7 linked regions of the Callithrix jacchus genome follow. The protein of the gene in region 6 interacts with the protein of the main gene of each other region in a pairwise test. Links are inferred from orthologs where the notes say so. Each region holds a gene or a part of one and is shown on either strand. Other genes may lie near its edges.

What was found.
Region 1: the proteins of UBE2K (region 6) and MKRN3 interact in binary tests that used the Homo sapiens proteins (3 or more experiments, as listed by UniProt). The link is inferred for Callithrix jacchus from reciprocal best matches to the Homo sapiens genes UBE2K and MKRN3.
Region 2: the proteins of UBE2K (region 6) and RNF125 interact in a two-hybrid assay, tested with the Homo sapiens proteins (2 studies listed by BioGRID and IntAct). The link is inferred for Callithrix jacchus from reciprocal best matches to the Homo sapiens genes UBE2K and RNF125.
Region 3: the proteins of UBE2K (region 6) and MIPOL1 interact in binary tests that used the Homo sapiens proteins (3 or more experiments, as listed by UniProt). The two-hybrid records come from large-scale screens. The link is inferred for Callithrix jacchus from reciprocal best matches to the Homo sapiens genes UBE2K and MIPOL1.
Region 4: the proteins of UBE2K (region 6) and RNF114 interact in binary tests that used the Homo sapiens proteins (3 or more experiments, as listed by UniProt). The link is inferred for Callithrix jacchus from reciprocal best matches to the Homo sapiens genes UBE2K and RNF114.
Region 5: the proteins of UBE2K (region 6) and RNF111 interact in binary tests that used the Homo sapiens proteins (3 or more experiments, as listed by UniProt). The link is inferred for Callithrix jacchus from reciprocal best matches to the Homo sapiens genes UBE2K and RNF111.
Region 7: the proteins of UBE2K (region 6) and DTX3L interact in binary tests that used the Homo sapiens proteins (3 or more experiments, as listed by UniProt). The link is inferred for Callithrix jacchus from reciprocal best matches to the Homo sapiens genes UBE2K and DTX3L.

The regions. Positions count from the first base shown.
Region 1 is NC_133507.1:5,632,087-5,636,767, reverse strand, and holds MKRN3 (E3 ubiquitin-protein ligase makorin-3), read left to right. Parts: upstream 1-1,784; 5' UTR 1,785-1,894; coding exon 1,895-3,418; 3' UTR 3,419-4,159; downstream 4,160-4,681. UniProt on the Homo sapiens protein: E3 ubiquitin ligase catalyzing the covalent attachment of ubiquitin moieties onto substrate proteins.
Region 2 is NC_133514.1:75,100,975-75,105,363, forward strand, and holds the start of RNF125 (E3 ubiquitin-protein ligase RNF125), read left to right. Parts: upstream 1-1,418; 5' UTR 1,419-1,454; coding exon 1,455-1,618; intron 1,619-4,389. UniProt on the Homo sapiens protein: E3 ubiquitin-protein ligase that mediates ubiquitination and subsequent proteasomal degradation of target proteins, such as RIGI, MAVS/IPS1, IFIH1/MDA5, JAK1 and p53/TP53.
Region 3 is NC_133509.1:71,918,425-71,922,373, reverse strand, and holds part of MIPOL1 (mirror-image polydactyly gene 1 protein), read right to left. Parts: intron 3,022-3,949; exon of another isoform or gene 2,949-3,021; intron 1,335-2,948; coding exon 1,103-1,334; intron 1-1,102.
Region 4 is NC_133506.1:45,490,184-45,494,132, reverse strand, and holds part of RNF114 (E3 ubiquitin-protein ligase RNF114), read right to left. Parts: intron 2,833-3,949; exon of another isoform or gene 2,729-2,832; intron 2,179-2,728; coding exon 2,028-2,178; intron 1-2,027. UniProt on the Homo sapiens protein: E3 ubiquitin-protein ligase that promotes the ubiquitination of various substrates. In turn, participates in the regulation of many biological processes including cell cycle, apoptosis, osteoclastogenesis as well as innate or adaptive immunity.
Region 5 is NC_133509.1:5,025,083-5,029,031, reverse strand, and holds part of RNF111 (E3 ubiquitin-protein ligase Arkadia), read right to left. Parts: intron 2,769-3,949; 5' UTR 2,750-2,768; coding exon 1,870-2,749; intron 1-1,869. UniProt on the Homo sapiens protein: E3 ubiquitin-protein ligase. Required for mesoderm patterning during embryonic development. Acts as an enhancer of the transcriptional responses of the SMAD2/SMAD3 effectors, which are activated downstream of BMP.
Region 6 is NC_133504.1:154,118,311-154,122,815, reverse strand, and holds the start of UBE2K (ubiquitin-conjugating enzyme E2 K), read left to right. Parts: upstream 1-1,332; 5' UTR 1,333-1,521; coding exon 1,522-1,584; intron 1,585-4,505. UniProt on the Homo sapiens protein: Accepts ubiquitin from the E1 complex and catalyzes its covalent attachment to other proteins. In vitro, in the presence or in the absence of BRCA1-BARD1 E3 ubiquitin-protein ligase complex, catalyzes the synthesis of 'Lys-48'-linked polyubiquitin chains.
Region 7 is NC_133516.1:80,460,070-80,464,018, forward strand, and holds part of DTX3L (E3 ubiquitin-protein ligase DTX3L), read right to left. Parts: intron 2,536-3,949; coding exon 1,000-2,535; intron 572-999; coding exon 354-571; intron 1-353.

The sequences.
Region 1 (4,681 bases), on a different chromosome or scaffold from region 6:
CTGCAAATTATTCTCAATTTTCTGTTGCATTTAATCAGTAATTTTTTTCCAGTTATAAAATCTTTTATTCCTTTGCTATTACACTAGCCATGACTTGTAACCAACAAATACAGACATGTTATTTGAGAGGGAAAGTTTTAGAAAACTTTATTTAGATAATTATCTAAATCACAAATGTAATTTAACAGATCCATATTCAGATTTACTTCTGCTCCTGTCATTTTGCTAACAGATGTTTCCAGCAATATGAATACGTCATGTTAATTTTCAAGTTTAATGTCCTCACTTTGTCCTTGATATTCTCTAATGATTTTAATGTCTGTTATTAATGTAGTGATAACATATTTGAGATTTCTGATCTTGGGTATTTGAGCCTTTTTCATTTTTCCTTGATAAGTTTCACTGGAAATTATCTGGCTTCAATAAGCATTTAAAGGATTTTACTTAATTTACTTCCCTTATTTCATATTTGTTTTTCTTCATTGCTTTTCTTGCCTTTATTAGTTGCTTCATTCTGCCTTCTTTGCTTTTAGCTACTTAATTATAATTTAATTTGTTGATTTAGGTGATTATAAATATTCAGATGATAATTTTATGTTTTATAAAATTATCTGAATATTTTTATAAATGTAAGCAGCAAAATTTCCTCAGAAAAAAAATCCAATAATATATGATATATCACGAAACAGAGGGCTTATTATTGAAACGAATTGGTTAAATATTTGAAATTCGTAGCTGCAAATAATCACATTAAGAGAATAAAGGGAAAAGCAAGATTATCTCAAAAAAATCTATAAAACTCATGACTGAATTCAGTATGCAGTCATAATAAGTACTCTCAGCAAAGCAGGGATACAAAAATGATTAATGTACTAACATGTATCTGCAAAAATGACAAAACGCTCATACATGGAAATTAAAAACCATTCTCTTGTGGATAATATGGCACAGGATATGTTATAAAAGGCTGTCCTGCCACAACACAGCACAGATGGGGCTGAAAGAAAGGAAGGGAAACAAAGGGCTGCCATGAATATACCAGCAGAGAAAACAAAAGCCTGGGTCATGCAGGGGACAGTGCCTTATTAAGCCAGCATCAGGACTGGTTGAAGTCCCAGGCTTCTTCACAGTGGGAAAATGACCATAGTAATCACAATAAAGACAGACATCTGAAAGGTGCTCACTTCGCCTCGGATCAGACGTGCTCTCTGCTAATGACTTGCTGGTGAAAAGCGGATCCAACGTAAGCCCTCAGAAATCCCAGAAAACAAAGACCAAACGAAACGACGCCTTGTCAATAGAACAAATCGAAAAAAGTTTCCCGCAGTGACAGGCAGGGCATTAAAAGAAAAAACCCACAGACGTGAGACGGAATGAATCCAAAAGGAATTTATATAACTCACGTATGAAATGTTTCAGAATCTACAGAGCTATAATTTAAGGCAGACAGACGCGGAAATACAATGAAAGCGTGCATGACTGAAACTAGAAGAGATTACATGAAAACCTCATTCTCTTGAGGAAATGGTGTGAGGAGGGAATTAGGGGCTGCCGAAACACAGCGAAACAAGAGGCGGAAGGCAGACAAAAGGGGCCGGGTCGGTCCCTGCCTGCGTGAACAAAAAAGATGTCAGATGAGATGTCAGATTGGAAAATTGCCGCAAAAATCAGGCAGCGCACGTAGGTTGCCCCGACAGGAAGTGTCCGCCATGCTGCCTGTGCCCGGAAGTAGGTAGGAACACAGAGTCACAGGGAGCCAAGAGCAGGGGGGAAGGAAAAGAGGTGCACACTTCCCCCAGAGAAGTCTCGATCGTGGCCGCGGCTCCGGGCCTCAAGCCCTTAAAGAAAAAATACCGGAGACGTTCTGGCACCATTTCGGGGTGAAGAAGCTGCCATGGAAGAGCCTGCAGCTCCCTCAGAAGCCCACGAGGCAGCCGGGGCCCAGGCAGGTGCTGAGGCAGCAGGGGAGGGTGTGTCTGGGCCCGACCTTCCCGCGTGTGAGCCCTCCGGGGAATCTGCTGCTCCAGATTCAGCACTGCCACATGTGGCCGTGGGCTGGGCCCCCTTCCCTGTAGCTCCAGTCCCTGCCCACCTCCGCACGGGAGGCCTGAGGCCTGCCCCAGCCTCCGGAGGAGGAGCCTGGCCCAGCCCCTTGCCAAGCCGAAGCAGTGGCATTTGGACAAAGCAGATCGCCTGCAGGTATTATATACATGGGCAGTGCAAGGAGGGGGAGAACTGTCGCTATTCCCACGACCTTTCTTGTCGGAAGATGGCCACCGAGGGCCGCGTTTCGCCGTCTGGGGCCTCTGCAAGTGGAGGCCCTAGCACGGCTGCGCACATCGAGCCCCCGACTCAGGAAGTGGCGGAAGCCCCCCCGGCTGCATCCTCGCAGTCCTTGCCTGTGATTGGCTCGGCTGCTGAAAGGGGTTTCTTTGAAGCCGAGAGAGACAATGCAGACCGTGGAGCTGCTGGAGAAGCAGGTGTAGAAAGCTGGGCGGATGCCATTGAGTTTGTTCCAGGGCAGCCCTACCGGGGCCGCCGGGTTGCATCTGCTCCTGAGGCTCCTCTACAGAGCTCAGAGACTGAGAGGAAGCAGATGGCTGTGGGCAGGGGTGAGCGGTTTTGCTATTATGCTTCCAGGGGAGTTTGCTTTCGTGGGGAGAGCTGTATGTACCTCCATGGAGACATATGCGACATGTGTGGGCTGCAGGCCTTGCACCCCATGGATGCTGCCCAAAGGGAAGACCATATAAGGGCCTGCATTGAAGCACACGAGAAAGATATGGAACTCTCGTTTGCTGTGCAGCGTGGTATGGACAAGGTGTGTGGCATCTGCATGGAGGTTGTCTATGAGAAAGCCAACCCCAATGACCGCCGATTTGGCATTCTTTCCAATTGCAACCATACCTTCTGTATTAGGTGTATCCGCAGGTGGAGAAGTGCCAGACAGTTTGATAACAGGATCATCAAGTCTTGTCCACAGTGCAGGGTCACCTCCGACTTGGTCATTCCCAGTGAGTTCTGGGTGGAGGAGGAGGAAGAGAAGCAGAAACTTATTCAGCAATACAAAGAGGCAATGAGCAACAAGGCCTGCAGGTATTTTGCGGAAGGCAGGGGTAACTGCCCATTTGGAGACACATGCTTTTACAAGCATGAATACCCTGAGGGCTGGGGAGATGAGCCTCCTGGGCCGGGTGGTGGGTCATTCAGTGCATACTGGCATCAACTTGTGGAGCCTGTGCGAATGGGAGAGGGCAACGCGCTCTATAAAAGCAGTAAGAAGGAGCTTGTCGTGCTTCGGCTGGCCAGTCTGTTGTTTAAGCAGTTTCTTTCACTGAGAGATGAGTTCCCCTTCTCTGAGGAGCAGTGGGACTTGCTTCATTATGAGCTGGAAGAATATTTCAATTTGAATCTGTAGCATCGTGCTGTGGCATGTGGTCTAGTCTCCTGAGGTTCTGTCATCTTCTAATGCCTGTTTTCCCTATGTTGACACTCCTATTGCTTTCAGGGGCTGTTGAGGCAGTGTTTCTGTTTTCTTGTCTATTCTGAGTATCTTTTCTCCTAGGACTATGGTGATTATCTGTGTTAAAAAGTAAGTCCATAAAGTTACTATTTTGGTGAAATTAATATTAATGTCAGCTTATGGCTTTTTCGTCATCTCTGTTTTCAACAGGATTAACTCAGTTCTAGTTTAGTGTTTACTGAATTTCCACACGTATTTTGAAGACTCTCAAGAGTAAATATGGCAGAGTGAAAGGAGAAGTTTTAATTGAACTAGTAGCTTTCTGCTATAATAGCCTTAACAAATGGACCCTTGCAGGGCCTTGCAGCTGCTCATCTGTTTGTTTACAGTCTGTTCTTTCCCTTCTTCCCTTTCAAGTGCACTTGTTAAACTATGATGAACTTGTGACTTTGTGTTTTACTTGACCAAAACCAAGTGTATATGTTTACATGTTTTTATCCTGTTTAGCTTGACGCGAAATAATTTATATTTGGAAATTTATATTTAAGAATGATATATATATAATATATATGCATATATATGTATAAGTTATGTATTTGAAAAATATATAAAAGAATATACATCACAATATAATATTTATGTTTATGTAATAAAGTAAATACAGACCCAAAAGCTGAAGGTCAAAGCCTAACAGGATTGGCTGTTGTGTGAATGTGAGTTGTCTGAATAATCTTTCTGTCCCAGGCACAGAAGCCAGTAATTAACATGTAATGAAAAGGACTGTTCAAGTGGGTCTGGCCAGATGTAACAGATGCACATCTTAGAGGACTTACAAAGCATGATGTTGGTAATTCTTACAATGGCATTCATAGCTCACTCCATAAATATTTAAATGGTGTTCCTATGCAGTTTAGCCACCTTCTCATTTATTCTTTGTAACAGCAAATCCTAGGCTCAGAGGCACAGTGCTTTGTATTCCATATACAAAGTCTCTAGACTTTCCCAACAAGGGGCTTTTGACAAAAGATTTCAACATAAAAGAAACAAGATTATAAAAGGGAAAATAGAACAAAAATACTAAAACCAGTGAGAATTAAAGAATGGGGTAAAATAATATAGAAAGCACTACGTATCAGTACAACTTAATTAGATTAAATGAAAGCAGTTTAAAGACTGAAAGTCAAAGGCTGTGAGACTTCATTACGAACAAAGTGAAAC
Region 2 (4,389 bases), on a different chromosome or scaffold from region 6:
AAACTAACACAGAAACAGAAAACCAAACACCACTTGTTCTCACTCATAAGTGGGAGTTGAACAGTGAGAACGGAACATCACACACCAGGGCCTGTTGGAGGGTGAGGGGCTGGGTAGGGATAGCATTAGGAGAAATACCTAATGTAGATGATGGATTGATGTGTGCAGCAAACCATCATGGCACGTGTATGCCTATGTAACAAGACTGCACATTCTGCACATGTATCCCAGAATTTAAAGTATTATAATAATAATAATAATAAAAAGTAAAGTCTGGGGTAAACTGGGTGAAATTTATGGGCTGTTAAGTACATGTATGTATTATATGTTATTATATCCCATGTGTTATGTATTATTGTATATGTGTATTATATACTATGTGCTATTTTTGCAACTCTACGCAAATCTACAATTATCTCAAAATAAAGTTTTGTTTTTGTTTTTTAAAGTAAGTTCTGTGAGAACTGGGGTTTTATTTGCTTGTTGACAATTGTGTCTTTATCATCAGAACAGGGTCTGGCATGCAGTGGGCACTAAATAAGTCTTCGTAAAACGTGTGAATTAATGCCCGGCGACTTTTTATATTATTAGTAGAGACGGAGTTCTACCACGTTGGCCAGGTTGATCTCGAACTCTGACCACAAGCGATCCAACCGCCTCGGACTTCCAAAGTGCTGGGATTACAGGCCGGGGTCACTGAGCGCAGCTGATCAAGTTTAAAGGGCGGGGTGGGGAGAGTACAAACAACAGAGGAAATCCTGAGCCGCAGAGGAAACTGGAGATGGCAGCGTTTAGCACTAGACTCTGTACGAGAGGCAGGATTGGAATCCAAATCTCCAGAACTCTTTCCACTGCCCGTGCTATCTCTCCATTGATGGACTATTGACTGGATGACAAAGTATTGATAGCACAGTCTTAGGAGACGCCCAGTCATAGATCATAGGCCATCTTTGCAGCTTATTGTGATTTCAACCGTGGAGGATGGTCCTATCCATCACCTTTCAAGCGGCTGTTCTCTGATCAGCATTAAGCATGGCCACGCCCGCCCTTAACTTCTGACTGTGGGGAAAGAGGTTGTGTGGGTGACAGCTTGGAAGGTTTACTACTGCCTCAATCCTCTTTTCTGCAGTTGAGGTTTCAGGTTTCAATCCTCCCAATACCACAAGACAGTGCAGCGAGCACCCGGCGGCCGCCGCCTCCGCCTCCGCCTCCGCCTCCGCGCCTCAACCCCGGCAGCCTGCAGATTTCAGCCCCGCCGCCGCGCACTCGCCCTGCCCTAGACCAGGGTTGGGCGCAGCGGCTGAGGCTGCTTCTGGGCTGCGCGAACTGGGTGCGCTGGGAGGCGGCGATCGCAGCTGGGCTGGGACTTCCTTCCTCCAGCGCACGGCAACAAAACAACCTTGCAGCAGGCACTGAGCGCTTGGCAGCTGTCCGGGCGAGCGAGAGGCACAGCGATGGGCTCTGTGCTGAGCAGCGACAGCGGCAAGTCGGCGCCCGCCTCTGCCACCCCGCGGGCCCTGGAGCACAGGGGGGACCCGGAGTTGCCCGTCACGTCCTTCGACTGCTCCGTATGCCTTGAGGTGTTACACCGGCCTGTCCGGACCCGCTGTGGCCACGTGTAAGTGCCAGGGGAGCCGGGTTCGCGCCCATCCCTGCGGAGGTCGATGTGGGGAAGCTGAGGGCTTGGTAGGGGGAAGAAGGGGGACGGAAGACAGCGCCTTAGGAACTGCTGCAGGGAGAAACCTGGACCCGTCGGGTGCGGGGCCACAAGGAAAACGCCAGTCGGTAGGTGACACGGGACTTCGGGAGGAGAAGACAGAAACGAGCGGGCCCTTTAGCCCCCTTGCGCTGTCTCCTCCCGAAGCCCAGGTGCGGAGCTCCAGGGATCCAGGCACGGGTCCCACCCAGCGCCAGGGCTGGCCAACGAGGGAGGGTGCTCCTGGCTGGAGAACCAGCGACCGCCCGGGCACAGAAAGAAAACCAGCGCCCGCTACAAGGCAAGGGCTCCCGCTAAGCGCAGTTATCCCGCTGAACTCGGTGGAACGGGCTGCGCTTCCCTCTGCCCCAGAAACCTGGGTCCGTTTTGTTTTGCTGCAGCTGTGCACGTGTTCCCAGAATGCCCACAGAGACTCGTCTTAAGCAAACAAGGATTTGTGCCAAGTGTCCTTCCACCCCCACCCCTGCTACCCTTTCCCAAAACAGACACCCAGCCTCTCAAAGAGCAAGTCAAACTGGAGCTTCCGAGTGACTTTCCACAGTCGTTAGAGTTTAACAACCTGCTAGGGTGGGGCTTGGACGTTAGCCGCAAGCCCCTGAATGCAATCCTTCACTACCCAGCCACAGCGTGACAGGAGGTGGCAGACTACCTGCTTTACTCCCCGTCTCTCCAAACCCGCAGAAATTACAGAGTAAAATAACTTTCTCGAAACCGAGCAGTATTTAGCTAAAACTCGCAGTTGGTGCAAAGCCCTGTCGTTTCTAAGAAGCGTTTAAAAACAAAGTCCGGATATAAATTTGGCACATCCTTAATGTTGTGTTCTCTGTTTGCTTTTTTTCTTTTTTTTTTCCTGAGACATAGTGTGGCTCTGTTGCCCAGGCTGGAGTGCAGTGGCGCGATCTCGGCTCACTGCAACCTTTGCCTCCCCGGCTCAAGTGATTCTCCTGCCTCAGGCTCCCTAGTAGCTGGTATTACAGGCGTGTGTCACCACAACCAGATAGTTTTTGTATTTGGAGTAGAGATGTGGTTTCACCATGCCGGCCAGGCTGGTCTCCTGACCTCAATTGATCCACCCGCCTCAGCCTCCCAAAGTGCTGGGGTTAAAGGAATGAGCCACTGCTCCCAGCCTTCACTGTTTGTCTTGAATTTTGTTCACGGATACACGTGTGTGTGTGTGTGTGTGTCTGTGTGTGTGTGCGCGCGTGCGGGTGCACAGATCAGGAGCGGAAGCCTACTTAATGTCCTTTGAAGACTGACTATAGTATGATGAAGCCCTGTGCGATACCACATTGGCTTGTACAGCTTTTGGCTTAGCAGGAAGAAAGAAATAGCATATTATGGATGCAAGTGCACAATATGTTTTCGAGAACCACTTTTGAAAGGATTTGGGTAGTCCTTAAAAACATGTGCATTTGCATTCAAAAGTTTTGAGGCCTGTAGTGGTGGCTCACACCTGTAATCCTAGCACTTTGGGAGGCTGAGGTGGATGGATCACCTGAGGTCAGGAATTCAAGACCAGCCTGGCCAACATGGTGAAACCTCGTCTTTACTAAAAATATAAAAATTAGCCAGGCATGGTGACCTACACCTGTAATCCCAGCTATTCAGGAGGCTGAGGCAGGAGAATTGCTTGAACCTGGGAGGAAGAAGTTGCAGTGAGCTGAGATGGCACCATTGCACTCCACCCTGGCAAGACTTTGCTTCAAAAAATAAACAAAAAAAGTTTTGAAAGTACTTAGGTGGTCCTTATTACCTATATCTTTGTATCTGAAAAGCAGTGTTCACCACTGCCCGTCTGTGAGCCAGGGAGAAAAGTGTGCAACCTGTGCAATGTATAAAGAGTGCTTTGGGCATTATTTCATGGCTGTATTCTCAAGGCCTGTTGTTTCAGCCTTGTTCGTAAAATTCGAGGCTTAAATTTACCCTCCTTTCTGGTTATTGATGTTGTTGCTCAGCTGTCCAGATGTAGTAACATGATATCCACAGACCAATCTGGAAGCCAAAATGTGCTATGTGAGTCAAAGTACATTGATTAGTTTAGTGCAGTAACAACCTAAAGATACCTCCATTTAAATTTAATAATTATTAGCATTAAAACTTCAACGTAGTACAAAACAGAAACAGTGGGCGTTTTGAAGATTCTTTTTGGAATAGAAGGCTTTGCTGTTCAATCTGACTGGAGACTGTTTTCCCGGTTTGGACTTTGAACATTATAATTTACCGTTAACAGTGTTTTTCCTTCTACTAAAGGATAATATAAATTTGCAAAATGTTGAATTTTTTGTTTAATCTTTTTCTTTGTTCAAGTGAATAGAAAACTAGCAACTGAAAAAAAAAAGTCGTAAAATAGTATAATAAGGGCTGAGCAAACTGCCTTTCCTTGCTTCACTGTTCTTTGTTTTGGCAAATCTATGTTCATTGTTCTGGCTGTGGGCAGAATTTCCATATTCCTCCTTTTGGCAAACTTACTTGGGTCCCTTCCACTTTATAGCTGTTAACCAGAGTCCTTACTGCAGTAGAGATTGTGAGTGTTGTTAATACCATTTGTACATTCTAAACGAATTACTCTTTTCCGCTGAAATTAAGTTGGAAAACAAAGAAATGCAAATGAACCTTCTCTATTTTATGATCTCATATTGAAGCTACATTTTCAAATGTAATGAACTAGGTTG
Region 3 (3,949 bases), on a different chromosome or scaffold from region 6:
AAGAATCTGATAAAGGGTTAAAAGGTTTTATTATATGTTACTATCCATTAACACATCTACTGAATAATTTGAAAGTAGAAATAAAAGTTCCTATGCAAAACTCTGTTAAAAATTGTATGCTGTAAAGTATTATTTTATCTAGACTGAAAATACACTAGTCACTGAAACTTCTTTTTAAATCTAATAATATTTTTATAGTACATGACTAATTATCAAAGTTCCTTAATCTCATACTTAAAAGTATAAGGTATCACAAATTCAAATCCTTTCATGAGCTAGGTAGGCAAGATGAATGGGTAAAAGCTGAGAATGTAAAATAATAAGGAAGGCAAATGGTAGAGCACAAGGCCCTTTTAACAGCATTCAAATTCATTTAAACGAAAAACAGTGCTAACCCAAACCAAAATGCATGTTTGGGCTTACCTTATCCTAGAGCTGCCAGCTTTTTACTTTCATGAATGATATTTCATGTATATCAATTTAACAGTTATTTTCAAATATATAATAAAACATCACAGAAAATAATATTGAACAAGATAGAATTAAATCTCACTGCCTTTCGTTAGATGCACGTTGTGCTTTTTCACTTAGTTAACTAGACATATTATATCCATATCACAGAAACAGTAGAAAACCCTGGTAGATCCCCCAAATTCTAATGAGTTTAGAATTAGTCAACTCCAAAAAGAATGAAAGAAGGAAAGAAGAAAAAAGGGAAGAAAGGAGAAAGGAAGAAAAAGTTCTTCTACTTTCCACTCTCTCTCTCTCTTTTTTTTTTTCTTGAGACAATCTTGCTCTGTCACCCAGGCTGGAGTGCAGTGGCATAATCTCAGCTAACTGCAACCTCCGCCTCCTAGGTTCAAGTGATTCTCATGACTCAGCCTCCTGAGTAGCTGGGATTCCAGGCATGTGCCACCACACCTGGCTGATACTTGTATTTTCAGTAGAGACAGGGTTTCACCATGTTGGCCAGGCTGGTCTCAAACTCCTGACCTCAAGTGACCCGCCCGCCTTGGCCTCCCAAACTGCTGTCATTACAGGCAAGAGCCACCACGCCCAGCCCCCATTCCTACTTTCTAAATCTAAGGCTGTGAGCACTTACTTGGATTTTTCAGTAGTACAGTAAACAGACTCATCATCTGGGTAAGAACTGATGATCTGAAAATTCCTTGATCTCTGCTCTGACCATTTTGTGTTCTCATAACTTATTTCATTAACTAATTCAGTGGATTTCTGATGCATATTTTCCTCAGAACTCACAGTCAGTTGCTCATCTGGCTGTGTACTTTTATTTATCCTTTTAGTTTCTTGTTCAAGATAACTGTGGGTTATATCTGTATTTAAACAAACAAACAAAATAACACATGATATATCAAACACTGTAACTATTTATTGATATTAAATCAATCAAATAAATATTTTTGGAAATACTCTCATAGCTTTAAAGATATAATTTCTAGTCTTATTTCTACTGTAATCACATAAGCATATACAGTGTGGTTTTTACCATTGAGACTTCCATTTCCACAGTCAATAGATAACTCTGCATTTTGGAATAACCTAAGGAGATTTCTTTTAAATCCTCAGAGCTTAAAAAATCTCTGGGAGTGAGACCTAGTTTAAATTTCTGAAGATCCCCAAATGATTCCAGCATACGCTCAAGGCTGAGAATCACTGATTTGGGGATATTATTTTCTAGGTGAACTTTTCTAGATTTCTGAAAATAGTATAAAATAATTATTATAGTGAAGAGTTAATATATGTGGAACTCTGGTATTAGACTGCCTGGGTTAGAATTCCAGCTTTGCCAAGTGAATCACTTTGGGCAAGTTACTCTCAGTTTCTTTTCTGTAAAATGGGTATATAATATTTGTTGTTAAGGACTGAGTTAACATACTCAAAATACTTGGCCTAGTGCCTGACACATCAATACATGTTAGTTATTATTTTTGTAATCATCGTCATAATATTAAAATAGACACAATACAAGGGAGAATGATTTCTAACCTTCATCTCTAGGATGTATTATACATCAGAGAAGATACTTTGCAATGCCTATCTCACAAAAATTATCTTAAGCTACTGCTAGTAAATAATGGCTATTTCAAAGGGACAATGTACATGTAATGACAAAGTAAAGTTTTGGGGAGAAAATGACACACAAATACGAACACAAAGCAAACTCATTCACTAGTAAATCAATTCAACAGGCCCCAGTACTGATTGTAACTAGTACTTCCTTATTTAGGGCAGAAATATTTCTTGAACTTTAAAAGGCAGATGAATCTCACCTGATTTTTGGTGGTGCCTTTTTAAATCTGCTAAACTTACAATCGTTGGAGGCACATACGAGTAGTTTTATTTTATTTTACCCTATTTTTTTTTAAGATGGGGTCTTGCTCTGTTGGCCAGGCTGGAATGTGGTGGTATGATTATGGCTCACTGTAGCCTCAACCTCCTGAGCTCAAGCAATCTTCTTGCCTTTGTCTTCCGAATGCCTGGAACTAGAGGAGTATGCCACCTTGCCTGGCTGATTTTTATGTTCTGTAAAGATGGGGTCTTGCTATTTTGCTCAGGCTGAGAGTTGTTTTAGAATTTAAACAAAAGGGGGCACTTATAAATAAAATACCTCTCATAAAAATATTCACTTTTTAAGAAAAAATTATTTGCTTGTATATTTGCTGAAATTAGGTATAGCCAGTTATGAACTCTAGATCTTGGACATTATTCTTATTGCTAGCTAGAAGCTAGATGAGTACATCTGTTTTTGGTAAATTACTCTCTATTTCACTCTGAAGAAATGAATTAGAAGAGAGAATGTCCTATCATAATTATACAGTATAAGAGAGCTGTGAACCTTCAACATTATATTAACTTAAATTTGACAGTTTTAGGAACAGATACATCTGAAGATCACTTGTTCATATTTGACATCTTGAAATTCTTACTTTGTTTGCATTAGATAGTCACCATGCAACTTGTCTGTAATAGGCTGCATTAGCATAATGGAACTCTCAAAATCTGAATGAGAAAAGTTTATAAATGGGCATTAAGGAAAGCCTCTATATCATTAATAGACTATGCTTTCTAACACATATAACACATAACATATAACATTGTAAATAACTCAAATGAAAAACAATCAGAAATAATCACTGAAAGCATTATCAAATAACAAAATTGCCCCTAGGGACATATTTCTTAAAAACTATTAGGCCCCCCACTCTTCTTCAGTTTATGAAGTACCATGTTTCTTCAAAAGGGAAAAGAATGGTCCATGGATCACTGTCAACTATAAAAGCCCCCAGGTCCCCATGACAGCCGCACAACTGCTTCAGACTCTTGTCCAGTGCTTTTCAACCTGTTCAAGACCAAATTTACCATTATCTAAAATTAATTCAGTATATTTTTTACTTTCAGTTTTTTATTCCTAACCTCCTGGTGTTGATCTTATCTCTGCTATTTAAATTCGCTATTTGTTTACTAGTTTTATAGTTCTCTTCCTTCAGCTATAACCTAATGTCAAATTTGTGATCTCCTGAACTCTTGATAAATCACCACTATTTTACTTGTGACCATACTATCTTCTTCAAACTTAGAGCAAATATGGAAGCTTCCCAATAAGAGCTTCCCAATAAGAGGACTCTGTTGATCCTTCCTGGGTCTTAGTAAATATAAGTCCTTGAAGTTTTATTACAATGCATCAATTTCTGACACACTCTAGACTTTCATTCTAAAATTTAATTTTAAATGTTTAATATTTTTTAAGAATCCATACTGTGTGACTTGACTCTATTTCTGGATATTTCTCATTTCGTTCAGTAGTAAAAACTTTTAGATTTCTAATTGAAAAGGCTCATCAGAAATTTGGAGCTTGCTCTGCAAATCAGACTATCCATACCCTTCTACTGAAAATTTATTTTAAAAAGATTAAAAAAAATATTTTTTA
Region 4 (3,949 bases), on a different chromosome or scaffold from region 6:
CAAATGATTCTTCTGCCTTGGCCTCTCCAAGTGCTGGGATTACAGGCACGAGTCACTGTGCCGTGTGAAGCCCCCAATTAAGAGACAGGAAATAGCCCTACTATGCATCCCTAATACTAAATAACTGTGAAAGGTCAGTTTCATTAACACTATGGTCATTCACACTTAAGTGTTAAAAATAATGAAACTGACATGCAAGGCTGTCTAATATGTAAGAGAAAAAAACCTGAAAGTAGAAAAAAGTTGGGAATGATTGTATATTTAAAGAAGTGAAAAAAAAAGTTGAAGAAATATAGTGTGATCTTATTTTGCAAAAATCCTACAATTGTGTTGGTAAAAATTCCCTATCTGTGTTTGTCAAAGGATAGAAAATGTTACATAGCCTTTGAGATAGAACCACTTTTTTTTTTTTTGAGATAGGGTTTGGTCCAGGCTGGGGTGCAGTAGCACAATCTCAACTCACTGCAACCTCTGCCTCCTGGGCTCAAGCCATCCTCCCACCTCAGCCTCCCAAATAGCTGGGACTACAGGTGCACACCACCATGCCCTGCATTTTTTGTATTTTCAGTAGAGCCAAGGTTTCAGCATGTTGCTCAGACTGGTCTAGAACTCCTGGACCTAAGCAATTCACCTGCCATGGCCTCCCAAAGTGTTGGGATTACAGGCATGAACCACCCTGCCAGGCCTTAAATTGAACTATTTTTGAAGTAATCTCTGGAATGAGGAACAAGCCTGTATTACTGTATATTTTTGTATGGTCCAGAATTTAAAAAATTTTAATGATTCTAAAATCAATAAAGCCATGTATATCTCTTGGAAAACAGGACAACAGTATTTCTCCTTTCCAGTAGCAGTTATAACAGGTATGAAAATAAATATACTTGACTCTGATTATACAAGAGCATGGATGCATTTCAAATGTTAGCTATTGTTATTATAATCCAATGATTTCATATTGACTTTTTAAAAGAGACAGAGTCTTGCTGTCAACCAGGCTGGAATGTAGTGGCATGATTATAGATTACTGTAATCCCAAACTCCTGGGCTCAAATGATCCTCCTGCCTTTGCCTCCTGAGTAGCTGGACCTACAGGTACATACCACCACACCTGGCTAATCTGATTTTTTTTGCAGAGATGAGGTCTCAACTAGGTTGCCCAGGCTGGTCTCCTAACTCCTAGCCTCAAGCTATCCTCTTGCCTCGGACCCCTAAAGAGCTGGGGTTACAGGCATGAGCCACTGTACCTGGTCCTCATATTGACCTTTATATCATGATTCCTGTTAAGTGCTAAAAAGCTGAACCATTAAATTTTTATATCTAATGATATAGATTACAACACTTCCCCTCAAATGCATTAAAAGAGTTAAGTTTGAGTCACTGACTTCATTTTTTAAAGAATCATGAAATATCATTATCATTTTATTCTAATTAAAATGATATATAATGCTTTGGAAAAAAAATTCTTTTTTTTTTTTTTTTTTTTGAGTCTCACCCTGATGCCCAGGCTAGAGTACAGTGGCATGATCTTGGCTCACTGTAACCCCGCCTCCTGGGTTCAAGTGATTCTCCTGCCTCAGCCTCAGACTCCTGAGTAGCTGGGATTACAGGCATGAGCCACCATGCCCAGCTAATTTTTGTATTTTTAGTAGAGATGGGGTTTCACCATGTTGGCCAGGCTGGTCTCGAACTCCTGACCTCAGATGACCCACCCGCATTGGCCTCCCAAAGTGCTGGGATTACAGGCGTGAGCCACTGTGCCTGGCAAAAATTGATCTTTTATAGGAAAAAACTGGGATAACTGATTTCTACGGCTTTCAAAGCTAAAACATACACTTAACCAACTCTTTAAAAAGGAAACAAACCAGTAGGGTTATGAAAACAAACCAGCACAGCCATCAGCACAAGTAACTGGCATGCATGCGTGCTGTTAGTGACCTAGTCATGCTCTAACTTCAGAAACAGCACTGTATATTTCACCCCATCTTATCATGGAAAGACATGGACTCTTCCACATTACTTCCACATACATTCTTACGGCAGCCATGGCAAGAAGTCTCTGTGCTCTCGATCTGCCGCTCGAGCTCCACGGCTCGGACGCCAGGTGCCAGAGCGCTGCGACACACCCCACAGACAGGCTTCTTCGGCTTCAGACATTCCTGCAGGCATGCAGAGCAAAAGCTAGAACAAGACATACAGAGAACCTCCGTCACGCATCATGGAGACAAGACAACAAATATGGATCAACTTTTAAAAAGACGTCAATGGATAATGGAGTAAAAACAACTTGCTCTCTTCTCCCAATTCAAATACAAAGTCCTTCCAGGCCAGAAAAATTGAGGAATAAAAGTGGACTACAAAGAACACACAACTGCAAGAATAAACGCAAACTCCTGTGATACACGGTGAAAGGTGTTAAGGTTGAGGCCTCAAGCCTTAGGTCCTGCCACTGAGGGATCTCAGTGGGGTTTAGAATCTCTGTTTTTTCCTTTGTGAAATGAAGAGAGTAGTACCTACCTCTAGGATTGCTGGGAGGACGCAGTTTGTATAGCAGACCCCTGGCAGAGTGTCCAGCATGTACCAATGCACCATAAATGGGAGCTGCTATCATTAGAGGTGAAGGCAAAGCGCTTTGGAAACATAAGGGGAAAAGCAACTAGCTATGACCTGAGAAGGAAAGGGCTAAGACTGCAGACAGTGTCTTTGATCAGCCTTAAAAGAGTTCAGCTGGATCCTCTGTAGTTCGTGAACGTGATGACTGGGTGTTCGTGCACATGTGTGAGATGTCCCACCCTTGAACCTTGTTACAGACGTTGGTCCATTACCCATCTGACACTTGAAAAAAAAAGAGGTCAGCCAGCAGAGGAAAGAAAGACTATTCTAGGCCTAATTTAGGCTTAAAATTCATTATGTACCTGAGGAAATAATAATCTAACAGACTTTTCCACAGAGCAGAAGTTTAAAGCAAGATATTAACAAGACAAGACCAAATCCAAGTTTCAGAAAAACATCTCTGTGCTATCATGGAAAACAAGTTTTCTTGTTGTTGTTAGTTTTGTTGTTTGTGTTTTTTTTTTTTTTTTGAGACAGTCTCACTCTGTTGCCCAGGCTAGAGTGCAATGGCACAATCTTGGCTCACTGTAACCTCCACCTTCTGGATTCAACCGATTCTCCTGCCTCAGTCTCCCAAGTAGCTGGGATTATAGGCGCCTGCCACCGCATCCGGCTAATTTTGTATTTTTAGTAGAGACGGGGTTTCACATGTTAGCCAGGCTGGTCTCCAACTCCTGACCACTGGTGATCCACCCACCTCAGCCTCCCAAAATGCTGGGATTACAGACATAGGCTACCACGACCCGCCATGTTGTTAGTTTTTTTAGGTGAGGAGATGAGAAGAGACAAAGCAAAAACCAAACAGATGGCTAAAGGCAGAGGATTGTGAGGGCCTGACTAAAGCAGTAGAGGATGAATTCAGGAAATGGCTCAGACGGAATCGGGACTTGATAACTTACTGACTTTAAAGAAAAGAAGGAAAGTCAAAGATGACTGAGTTTCTATCCTGAAGCCTAGGCAGATGTCGACGCTGAGATACTGCATACAGAAAGAATGGAGAAGACACCCTGGGCTACTTACCTAACCTGATAGATTAAGACAGTATAACCCAATCTGCCAGAAAGAACTAAGGATGTATAATAAAAGGCAATTTTCTGAACACTTGACCACTTTCTACTGCCTCTAAGAATCTCCTTCCTCTCTGTCATTAAGTTAGATGTCAATGCTGTTAGGAATTCCAGATCAGGTTCAGAGGTGAGAGAATCTACTCATTTGCCACTGAGGGCAGAGTGGAAACTTGACAAAGCCCTGTTCTCATGAAACTTACATTCTAGAGTGAAGGGAAACACAAATGTTAATTTCAGATAGTGATAAAATATATGAAGGAAATATGGCAAAG
Region 5 (3,949 bases), on a different chromosome or scaffold from region 6:
GATGCACCTTAGGATGGTTCATGTACATAAAACATACATTTCTGGACTGTCTGCAAATCAACTTATTCTACTTAAATATCACATTTACTCTGTGTGCGTGTGTGTGTAAAAGAGAGAGACAGTGAGTATGAGCAAGAGCACACATGCACAAGAGCACTGATAGGAAACAGTCCATATTAAAATATATACTGTCAGGACCAAAAGTCTCTGGGTCTTAGTATTAGAATAAAAGTTGGCCGGGCGCGGTGGCTCACGCCTGTAATCCCAGCACTTTGGGAGGCCGAGGCGGGTGGATCACGAGGTCAGGAGATTGAGACCATCCTGGTCAACATGGTGAAACCCCATCTCTACTAAAAATACAAAAAATTAGCTGGGCACAGTGGCGCATGCCTGTAATCCCAGCTACTCAGGAGGCTGAGGCAGGAGAATTGCCTGAATCCAGGAGGCGGAGGTTGCAGTGAGCCGAGATCACGCCACTGCACTCCAGCCTGGGTAACAAAAGCAAAACTCAGTCTCAAAAAAAAAAAGAATAAAAGTTAACACTCAGATACTTAATATTATTTTTCAGCTATAAAAAAACATGATAACAGCAAACAACAAAAATAGAGTACTTAAAGAAAAAATATTGAGAGGCCGAGGCAGGTGGATCACCTGAGCTCAGGAGTTCAAGACCAGCCAGGGCAACTTGACAAAATCCATCTCTACCAAAAAATACAAAAATAAGCCAGATGTGGTGGTGTATGCCTATAGTCTCAGCTACTAAAAAGGCTGAGGTGAGAGGATGATTTGAGCCCAGGAGGCAAAGTTGGCAGTGAGCGAAGATTGCATCACCATACTCCAGCCTGAGCAACAGACCCACTTGCTGTCTCAAAAAAAGAAAAACTATTATTTGTCTTTTTTCAGTGACTAGTATTGTTCTTACTACGGTTGAATTCATCATACAGATAGCTGAATAAGTATTCATAGAGGCTGAGGCGGGTGGATCACGAGGTCAAGAGATCGAGACCATCCTGGTCAGCATGGTGAAACCCCGTCTCTACTAAAAATACAAAATATTAGCTGGGCGTGGTGGTGCGTGCCTGTAATCCCAGCTACTCGGGAGGCTGAGGCAGGAGAATTGCCTGAACCCAGGAGGCGGAGCTTGCAGTGAGCCGAGATCGCGCCATTGCACTTCAGCCTGGGTAACAAGAGTGAAACTCAGTCTCCAAAAAAAAAAAAGTCAAACATACTAAAGAAACACAAGGAAAAAAACTGTGTGCCATAAATTAAAAACACATATAATACATAGTATAATCCAGTATGTATAAAATGTAATAAATGAGGCCAGGTGTGGTGGCTCACGCCTGTAACCCCAGCACTTTGGGAGGCCAAGCAGGGGGACAGAGCATTTGAGGCCAAAAGTTCGAGACCACCCTGACCAACATGGTGAAACCCTGTCTCTACTAAAAATATAAAAATTAACCAGGCATGGTGGCAGGTGCCTGTAATCCCAACTACTCGGGAGGCTGAGGCAGGAGAATCTCTTGAACCCAGGAGGTGGAGGTTCCAGTGAGCCGAGACTGCACCACTGCATTCCAGCCTGAGGGACAGAGTAAGACTCTATTTCAAAAAAGAAAAAAAAAAGTAATAAATGGTTATTCCCCCAAAAAACTCTGACTTATTTTTGTCCTCGAAATTTTTTTAATTTTTATTTTTGAAGTAGAGTCAGGGTTCTATACTACAATTGGTAATTTATACAGCTTAAAAATAAAAGTTAATAGATGCTCATAGTCCTTTTATATAAAACAAAATCAGTAAGACATAACCAAAAAAATAAGTGCAAATACAATGTAATCAGTTCCATGTGTTACTCGGCTTAAACATTTTTACCTGAGGGAACAGCTGGATTGTTTTGGTGGTTTTCACTGGCAGAAACAAACAAATCTTCTTCTCCTTCAGTTGACGAGCTAGAAGAGGATTCACTGCTGAGGTCATTCTCACTGGAGCTACTAGAACTAGGTAGCAAGGCATACTTTCTTCGAGCTAACACTTCCCGTTTCTTCCTCTGCATTAATATCCTCTCTTTTTGTTTCTGTGTCCTCTGTGAGGAATTAGTTTTTACAAATCTCTTTCTGCATGGAAGTCTCCTTAATGAACTGCTATGTAAACAGGGTCTTTTCATTAACAATCCCGATACAGATTCTGCCTCGGTCCGAGGCCACTTCTGAGACCGTGCACTATGGCTTCTGCTTTTAGCACTCAAAATGGTCTGGGAATGTCTCACGGAGACTTCCTTATCCTCATCTGAAGTCACAGTATCAGAATCTCCAAAATGCAGACTAGATGAAGGAGAAGAAAGACAATCACTAAAAGAGGAATCATTATCGTCATCACTTGGTGTTCCCAGGTGTTGCCTCAGTCCTAATATTCCCTGGTTTTCTTTGACACAATTCTGCACACAGGAAGGGCCAGCCTGCTGGCTTTTGCGTTTTTTCCTCACAACGACACTTTTTTCTTGTTCTTGCTGGTTACCATTCATGTCCTTCTCTTGTTTTTGAGAATCATCACACAGGTGAGAGAATTCATTCCCCACTTTACTATTAATCATCTCAACTCCTGCAGGAAAACTTTTGGCTGCCCCAATGGGCTCTGGATGCAAAAGGATCCCTTTCAGACTCTCCTGTGTCTTTGGTGCATCAGAAGGAATCTCACTCTTCATATCCACTTTTAAGGTGTAGAGCTCGTTATATTCAGGAGTCCATTGAGACATGGGAAACTTTAAGGAACGCCTAGAAGACAAAATTAGATATTTAAAAGATTTTTAATGTGTTTTTTATACTATTTAATTGAAGAGTTCTCAAAGTCCACTGAGCAGATCCCTTATAAAGGCAGAAGTGTCTTTTCCTCATCAGTACATTAAATGTCTGTTATGAATTATTTCACTGTTCTTATAAAACATTTTTCTCTGATCACTCTCCTCATGCACCCAATTTTTAGAAATACAGTAAATATAAAGCATAAGCCTACTTAAAGACTTCTAATAACCAAAAACTCATCTTAGTGTATATCTTACTACCTTCAGCAACATATTTGGTTAAATCAAACAATTGCTTCAAAACCTGTTTCAGTAAAATATAGATAAAAGAATGAGAATTCAAAAGACTAATCAGACAACATGTTTTACTCCTGGTATGACATTTTAAAGTGGTTACTATGAAATATTTCTGTACATCTAGATGTTTACATTGGATTGAAACATTAATAATGTGCTAAAGAATATAAGCTTCGCTTTCCTATTTTTTCCTTCATACTATTCTGTTAATTCTCTAATGAGAATCTGAATTCTCCTGGTAGTAGGCACAATTACAGCATTTCAGTTTTAGATACAGAAAAGATTAGAGCCAAGATCATTCAGTTAAATAAAGAGTACAGCAGAATATAAAAATCAAACTTCCTACAGCTAATACACTATCTAAATCCTTCAACCTCTTAAATTACGAGTTGCTAAAAGGAGACTTGAATTTAAAGCATTTACATCAATGCAATGTACATGTGAAAATAATGTAAAACTAGCAAATGCCATGACTCAAAATGAAACATACTCATCCGAAAGGCAGTTAATGTGACAAACAAAGAGCTTTACTACTGCCATGTTACTGTAGTATATAACTTTATTATCAGAACAAGTGACAATAATTAAGACATGGAATGGCTTATTCCTACAGAAAGCTATCAAAACCACTGTCTTATTTTATTCTTATTTACAAGGTTAGGCAGGGCTGTATCCAAGATCAGCCATCAAGCTCTAACTTAGGTCAGGAGGACCACTGATAAACCAGGAACACAATGAGTGAACGTGAGCATGGTAATCAGCAAATTACAGAAGACGGCCAGTCAGACAAGGATCACCTTAATTAAAAACAAGAAAACAGGAGTCACAGTGATAAAACACAGGTACAGATCTAACAGT
Region 6 (4,505 bases):
CTCAAGCGATCTGCCACCATCGGCCGCCCAAAGTGCTGGGATTACAGCACTGAGCCACCGTGCCCGACCAGAAACCACTTTCAAACTGACTTTCCACTTAAAGTATTTTGCACTTTTTGTTCTGTTTTGTTTGAGACAGATCTGTCGCCCAGGCTGGAGTGCAGTGGCCCGATATCGCTCACTGCAACCTCTGTCCCCGGGGTTCAAGCGATTCTCCTGCCTCAGCCTCCAGAGTAGCTGGGATTGCAGGCGCCCGCCACCATGTCTGGCTGATTTTTGTATTTTTAGTAGAGACGGGGTTTTACCATGTTGGCCAGTCTTGGTCTCGAACTCCTGACCTCAAGCGATCCGCCGTGGCAGCCAAAACATTTTACTCTTACGTGTACTCATTTATTCATTCAATATTTATTGAGTGCCTACTAGCACCAGGCACCTTTGTAGGCCTAGGTTTACAGAAGTAAAGCTCCCCTCCCCCACCCCCAGTGCCCTGAAAAGCACTATAATTGTTTCTATTTCTCCAATTTTCACTTTTATATGAATTTTCACATGCTTTAGTTCAGACATGGGCACAAGAATGAGTGAGAGAGAGAGTGTGTCTTGGGGCCATCCTACACTCTAGGGATGGGCACAGGAGTGAGTGTGTATAGGAGTGGGAGTATGTGCTCGCGCGCGCGAGTGTGTGTGTGTGTGTGTGTGTGTATCAAGCTCTGTATTATCTAAATAGGTCAAAGATCAACATCTGGCTTCTAGATCCATCATCAGGCCTCTCCACGTAATACCTGTCTCAAACCGGATCTGATTCAACAATAACCAGCCTTAATTCAATAATCTGTGCTACCTGAGATGGTGGGAATAATCTTGGTACTATAAATGTTGCAGAACAAAAACGACTGCAGCGGATTTTCTGGGGCTACACCAACTGAAAATGGGCCGGATCGAGTTCCGGGAGAGCGTTTTCCTGCACTAGACGTTTTCCCGCACCCGGCGTTCAGCCACCGGGTTCCGGGTCTAGCTGAGTCAGGAAGGCGCTCCAGCCGATTGCGGCCTCGGGAACCGTTCGGTTGCACCCGAACCTTCGGTCAGAGTCCAGGGGTTGGCAGCCCGGACCACAGCACCCGGGTTTAAACAGAAGTGGAGGCGCCGGGGAGGACCGGCGGTCCCGGCCAGTTTGGAAGGCGCACCCTCCCGGCTCCAGACGCCGGCAGGGCGGAGTCAAGCGGCCGCAGCCCCAGTCGAGACGCGCGCTCGTGGCTCGGGCGAATGGGGGCTACAACGGGAGCGGCTGCGCCGCCCGGCCGGGTCAGCATCATGCGCATGCGCGGACCCGGCGCCATTTTGGTGGCCGGGCGCGGAGGTGATTCCACACTGAGGAGAGCGCGGTGGCCGGGGTGGTAGTGGCAGTGTTCGTGTGCTCGGGTCTGAATCGCTGAGGGAGGAGGCGGTGGAGGAAGAGGTGGCGGCGGTGGCGGTGGTCGTAGCGGTGGCGGAGGAGGCGGGTACGAATCAGCTGCGGGCGGAGACATGGCCAACATCGCGGTGCAGCGAATCAAGCGGGAGTTCAAGGAGGTGCTGAAGAGCGAGGAGGTCAGAAATGAACTCCCGGACATCCCCCACCTCTGCCCGGGCGGGAGGGTCCTCCCAGCGTGACCCCGATATCCCCGGTAGTCCCTGGGTGGCCCTCCTTGCGGCCGCCCTTCTGCCTGTGGGGAAGCAGTAGTGCTCCCCTCCTCCTTCCGCCGCCTTCCCCTCCCCTCCCACAGCGCTAGGATGGACGGTCTCGGCGGGCGGGGGGTCTGGGGTGGAACACAGTTTGGGGAACTGATGGACAGGGGGGAACTCCTCGGCGGGATGGAAGCTCACGAGAGAACCCGAGGCGGTGGCCACAGCTGGAAGTGTGGCTCTGGGGTGGGGAGGGAGCAGGCCGAGCCCGAGAAAACCCGGGAAGTGGGTTGGGGGAAGGGGAAAGGTGGTAACTGTATCCGGAGGAGCCGGTGCTGCTCTAAGGCCCACACTTTTGAGGATATTCTGGGTTATTGCCTGTCAGGCCGTCACCGTCCTTTTCTTAGGGAAGGAGCGGTGAGTCCTTAGGTATCGATTAAAAAGGAAGGACATTCAGAGTTAGTCCTTCTTAGTTGGGTGTTAGGAGTCAAGGGGAGAATAATAGAATACTGTCTTATTCGGTGGCAGGGATAAGGGAATTTTCACCTCTGTTAGCAAGTTAATTCCAAATGAGATCGTTATGTCTTTTCCACTTTACCCCCAAATTCCTAGGCCTCGTCTTTATCGACATCTCAGTCTTTGAGTGGGCAAAGGCAAGGTGTTTGGTGTATTAAAGACATTTAAATATTTTTAGTTAGAAAAAAAATGGAATGTAAGAGTAGCTTATTTCAAAATATTGTTTACAAGTTACAGATCAGAGAGACTGTCCTAATACAGTACCTCTGTGACTAGTGTTGTGCCACGAAACTTCATTATGATGTCCCTCATAGTTAACTTGATTCTTACTTTTGAAAAGTAGACCTATTAAAAACGTGTGCTTTTACCAGATTAATACACTGTTTTATCTCTTTATTGAGTAGATTTATCACGATATAGCAGATTTTCAAAAAAATTGCCTCCCGTTGCTCTTAAATCCTGCAGAATTTAGATATATTAGTACGTTTAAGTAAGATATTCACAATGCTCTAGTAATTTGACTCAGAATTACATAAGTATTAGTACAGTTTTTCATACCAAAAATCAACAAGAATACCAGATTGCCTTCCCCACAAGGATTAAACAAAAAGTAATACAGAAAATGGTTATTTTCAAGATTCACGTACCATTATTGAATATATCGTTGCTTTTGTGTTTTTTCTTTTACGGTTAGTACTTCGATAATGTCGATAGTGATTAGTGAAATTCAGCATTCTAAGTATGTGATGAGTAGACATGAAGAAAAAATTGTTTAAAATTCAAAAATGACAAATAGGCTTCTTGAAAGTAGTAGTATGTAAGTCATGATCAGTTTTACAGAGCATGTGTATGAACTCTGACCTCTGTTCATATGCCAAAACTCTGAATGGAAGGATGACTTTGTATTTTGTGGTACAGTGCAGAAACAGAGTCATAAGTGTTTGTATTGATAACAGTGAAACAGCAATTTTAACTTAATATGAAAATGTATTCCAGGATATTTGACATATATACTTCTAATGGAAGATAGCAGCTAATATTGTTGCCAACAACCTAAAACATTTCTTGTTTAATAAGGTTGTAGAAGCTTGAAACTTAATAGACTTTTAATGCTTTATTTTCTATTACTGAAAAGTGGTAAGTTACTACTCTAGTAATTTATATGGTCTCTGCTTTTTATGAGCTGACTTCACCGTGGTATTCTTAGTACTTAACTTGAAGATTACCAGAAATACTTGTATTGCTCTCTAGTAATGCATATTGTTAAAATAACACTGCTCATTATACATAAGGGATGATGGTTTACTTCAAATAAGTATCATAAGCGTTTCAGAAGAAGAAAATAGGGACGACAAACTTTTTTTTTTTTTGAGAACAGTACCTATAGAAATATGGAAAGAAACTTCTTCTAGGAAAATAAGTTGCAAAGAACATTTAGGAAAAGTTCACATCACTTAATCTTGGAATAAATATAACCAATAAATAGCTTATTTTCACCATTATTTTTTGACATTTTAGTGTCCCAGATCTATAAGTAGATTGTTATTTTCAACTCATTGAAGGACTTGTAGTACAGTCCATGTGTTTCCTTTTTAAGGGTGTAAATCCAGTCTTTTGAATGGCTGATCAAATAACTATTTCATCATGTCACTTTTTTGGTAAATCTGCACTTTACCAAAGTTTATTTCATATGCTTGTGTGCTTGTGTTTAGTAAGAACACTGGTTGATTTAAGGACTTTTTGGGGTGGCCTTTTAAGTGTCTTTGTAGAGATAGCTGACGCTTGTTGGATTGTGGTGGCCATTCTTAGAGTGTGTTAATTAAAATACAGCCAACAAGATAAATGTGAAAAGCAAGATACAGAATAGTGTGGGAGAGGCCACCATTTGTTTCAAATGGAGGGGAATATGTGTATTTGCCTGTGCAGGTAAAAGGTTTCATGAGAAATTGGAAAAATTGACTGCTTTCTGTGTAGGGGAATTGGGTCTCTGGGGCATGGGGAGTAGATATTTTTTGAATTATGTGTCATATGAACGTGATTTACTCAAAAAAGGCACCATTTGGCCTCTTTCCCTTAAGACAGTGTTTGGAAATTTGTCAGATGTTTCTTTTTAATTTATTAATATTTATTTTCTTTGTTTTAGATGTTTATTTTTAAATATGAGTATGAATTTTAAGTCGTTTTAAATAATATTCCAAAGTTGTTAGGCATGGAATATTGATATAAAGTACATTTTATAATTATTTTATGAGTTGGATTACATAAGTAAATTGTTGATTATGAGGATATAAAACCCTCTGAAGAGGCACATCTAAAAAAAAGGATAATTA
Region 7 (3,949 bases), on a different chromosome or scaffold from region 6:
AAAGGTGACCTTAAAAGAAAGCTAAGTAACATTCCTAGGAGCTAGTCTTCAAATGGACATGAAGCCTCAAATTAAATCAGCATATATACTATTCAACTTGGATTTTAAACCCCCCTGCCCTTTGGTGCAAAATTTAAATAACTCCATAATACTTTATAGTTGGCAGGGTGAAAATCAATGGGGACCAATCTTTCTGTCTTTGAAATTATCATCCCCAATTAGCATCTCTCAAAATACTTTACTATACCCAATATCACTGCTATAGATTCTCCTTATATCCACATCCAGAAATTGTCATATTTCATAATCCCTATACTCTGTTGAGCAGCTGTTACATCCCAGAAGGCTCTCACCTTTCTGGTCCTCCAAACTTGGATGTTTTGTGGTGAATATCATTCCAAGTGATGACATCTGAGATTCCTAATGCTCGAGAGTTCCCCACTGTAAAAATCAGCTTTTGCTCAAAGGCCCTACGAAGCAGTTCCAAAACCTTCCTCCCTTCCTTATTATCAGGCAAGTATGCAGTTCGATGTACTCCAGGGTAGATCTTTCCTGGGTTTGGGTGCTCCTTCTGTGTGAGAACAAGAAAATGTCATGTGAAAATAGCACGCTGTCTAACTTTTTCTGTATGTGTAGATGTGTTCATTTGTAGATAAAGCAAATCAAAAGCAAGAAAAGTATTGAAGTTTTGCTCATATTCCCAATAACTCATATTTCTCCTCTTTCCTTGAATTCATGCTGGGAACACTGTCCACCTTCCTCACCCCCGCGCCAACTCAAGATATAATCTCCACCCACCCTTTCTTGTCTTCAGAAACAGACAAAAAGCTATTTGAGTCATCAGCAAACTCTGTGACCTTTAACTATTTCAGTCCCTTGTGTATGACCGTGGAGATAATTCCTTGGGAAATCTACTGTCTGATAGGCAATAGGACAGTCTCTTTTGCTCTAGTAATCGTAACATAGTGGCAAGAAACCATGGAGCTCAGAAATACTTACTGTTTGTTTGCCTCCTTTCATGTTATAATTAATCTCAATGGTGCCGCAGGAATCATAACCTGGAAGTGACTCTCTTGAGACACGGACAACCATGCTTCCATCTGGCTGATTTCCTTTCTGAACACCATAGGAAGTCTGACATGTGGGACAGATTGGCTTATATTCCATGGCTTTGTCGATACAAGGAGTGCAGAATTCATGCTTGCACTTTGGTAGCACTTTTTTGTTACTAATGGTGTCCATACAGATGACACAGAAGCCATTTTCCTTCTTGTCCACTTCAAAGGCCTCAGAACTCACAGAGCCCTTGAGTGGCAGAGAAGCTGCTTTGGAATCATCACTATCAATGTCCATCGGTGTTACACGATCCTCATTCAGTTTCTCTCCAGACAATGAAGCCGTTCCTCCTCCTCTTAGAACATACTGCTTCACCTCTGCAAGGTGATTTGGCAAACCAATCAAAGTCATTGACTCCTTATTTAGCACAAAGTGTACATTTGGATGTCTTTTTCTAAAGTCATCAGCAAACTCGGTCTGATGTAAGTGCTTTCTCTCCTTGCCCAAAGACTTCAGTAAAAGAACTTCTCTCATCAGCTGACATGAGGCATGCTGAAAGGCATCGATGAAACTTGCATAAGCATGCACAGATAGATCTACCTGCTTGTCCTTGGGTTCAAACAGAATGCAGGTTTTTTGACCTTTCTCAAAAACCTTGATGCAAGTGTCATACCTTTTTTCGATCTCTGTTATCTCCTGTAGTAATTCAGCTTCTAAAAGCTTATAGCGAGCACTATCGACTTCAATTCCATTCGTCATCCAACTGGCAGTCAATAGTTTCACAGGTGCCTTGACAAGAACTTCAGAGATCTTTTGTTTGGCAGCTGAAATGTCATCTTGGGTCCCAAGGAGAGTTAATTCTCTTCCTTTCTCCTTTATAAGGAGCTTTGTAAACAGGTGATTCAATTTCTGTTTGATTTGATTTGCCTGCTTACTGTCTGCTAAAGAGACACATTCTTGCTTCAGAGGTTCTGTATTCTTCTGAAATTCACTAGCAAAAGACTCACGGGCTGCTTCTAGGTCATCTGATTGATCTGTGGTGAAATCTAAACAGACCATATTTGGAGAACTCTCCTGGATTTTAATGTTTACACCAAATTTTATCTTTATTGAGTTGATTTTATCGGGACAGATAAATTTGAAGTATTCAAAGTAAGGCAAGGGAACTTCAAAACAGTTGCTTTTTTCTTCTGCCTTGGTTTTGGGTTCGGAAGGAGAACTGCAGCTGTCCCTGTCCTGCTGACTGAGTGGCTTCCTCTCTGTCACTGTAGGGGAAAATTCCTGTTTCCACTCACTTTCCAGGAACTGCTCACTCAAAAATTGATGTATTTTTTCAATGTCTTGAAAGTCACCATATACCTTCTCAATTCCATTAGGACCTTCCATTTTTTTGACATTAGGGCACAGTGTGGTTATGTATGCCCTCTGCTCTTTGGAGAACAGGTTACAGTTCAGGTCAGCTGTTACAGTAAGAAAGATCTGAAATTTTAAAAGGAACAAGAACAAATAAAACCTCTCAGCATGCAGGCCTACAGTCTTTTCTTCAGAAGAATGCCTAGAGACTAGAGAAACAACCACTACATCTTCCCTAAGCAGGGGGCAACTTCTTTCAAATCCATTTAATTAATTAATTAATTTATTTATTTATTTAGTTTATTTTTTGAGTTTCGCTCGTGTTGCCAGGCTAGAGTGCAATGGCATGATCTCAGCTCACTGCAACTTTCACCTCCTGGCTTTAAGCAATTCTCCTGCCTCGGCTTCCTATGTATCTGGGATTACAGGCATGCGCCACCATACCTGTCTACTTTTTGTACTTTTAGTAGAGACGAATTTTCTCCATGTTGGTCAGGCTGTTCTCAAACTCCCAACCTCAGTTGATCCACTCACCTCGGCCTCCCAAAGTGCTGGGATTACAGGCGTGAGCCACTGCATCTGGCCTCAATCCTTTTTAGAGGATGCAGCATGCTACATCCCAGAGGTTCTAAGCCCTGTCTGGATATAATAATCACCTGGCGAGTTCAGGGAAAAACAAAACAGCCAAAGCCCAAGTGCATCCCTAGAGATTCTGATGTTAACTGTCTGCAGCGGGGCCTGGGCATGAGCATTTCTAAAAGCTCCATGGCCAAGATATCTGTGTTCTACAACTTCCACTATCTGTTTGATCTTGGGAACAGCAGTCGAGGGAAGGCATCTGTGCTTGCTGGGTAAGTTGTTGTGGCCCTGAAAAAAGTCTTTGAGCTTGGAAGGGAGCCATAAAAGTGAGGAAAGGGCTTTCTTATTACTGTTTTTTCTCTTCTTAACTCTTCCTTTTTTCTTTTTTCAACTAAACACCCACCTGCATGCAAAGTTGCTGGGCCCTTCTAAACCCTGGCCTTTAGATGCTCAAATATAAGACATGCCAGATTAAGATAAAAAGGACAGAGACAAATTGAGCGTAATATAAAAAATAAAATTTCTAATGTTTTGTTCCCCCTTAAGGACTTGGCATGTAAGATCCTTCCTCCAGATCTTCAAAATTTTTCCTTAATCCAGCCATTTCTCACACCTCCATTAGGACCACCCAGAGTCCACACCATTGTCATCTTTCACCTGGCGCACTGCAACCCCTCCTGACTGGGCTCTAACTTTCCATTCTAGCTCGTTCCTACTTTCAGATTTCCAACAGCAGCCAGAGTGACCCTTTAGAAATATAAACCAGATCGCCCTCTCTCCTGGCTCAAAACTATCTGATGAATCCCCTAACATTTTAAGTTAAAAAGCCAAAGTCCTTACCCTCAGCCCCAAAGGCCTGTATGTCTTCCAGGTAACTTGCCGAATCCTAGGACCTCTCTCCCTTGCTCCTCGCCCTCCCTGCCACTGGCTTCCTTCAAGTTTCTGGGCCTCAGAATGTTGG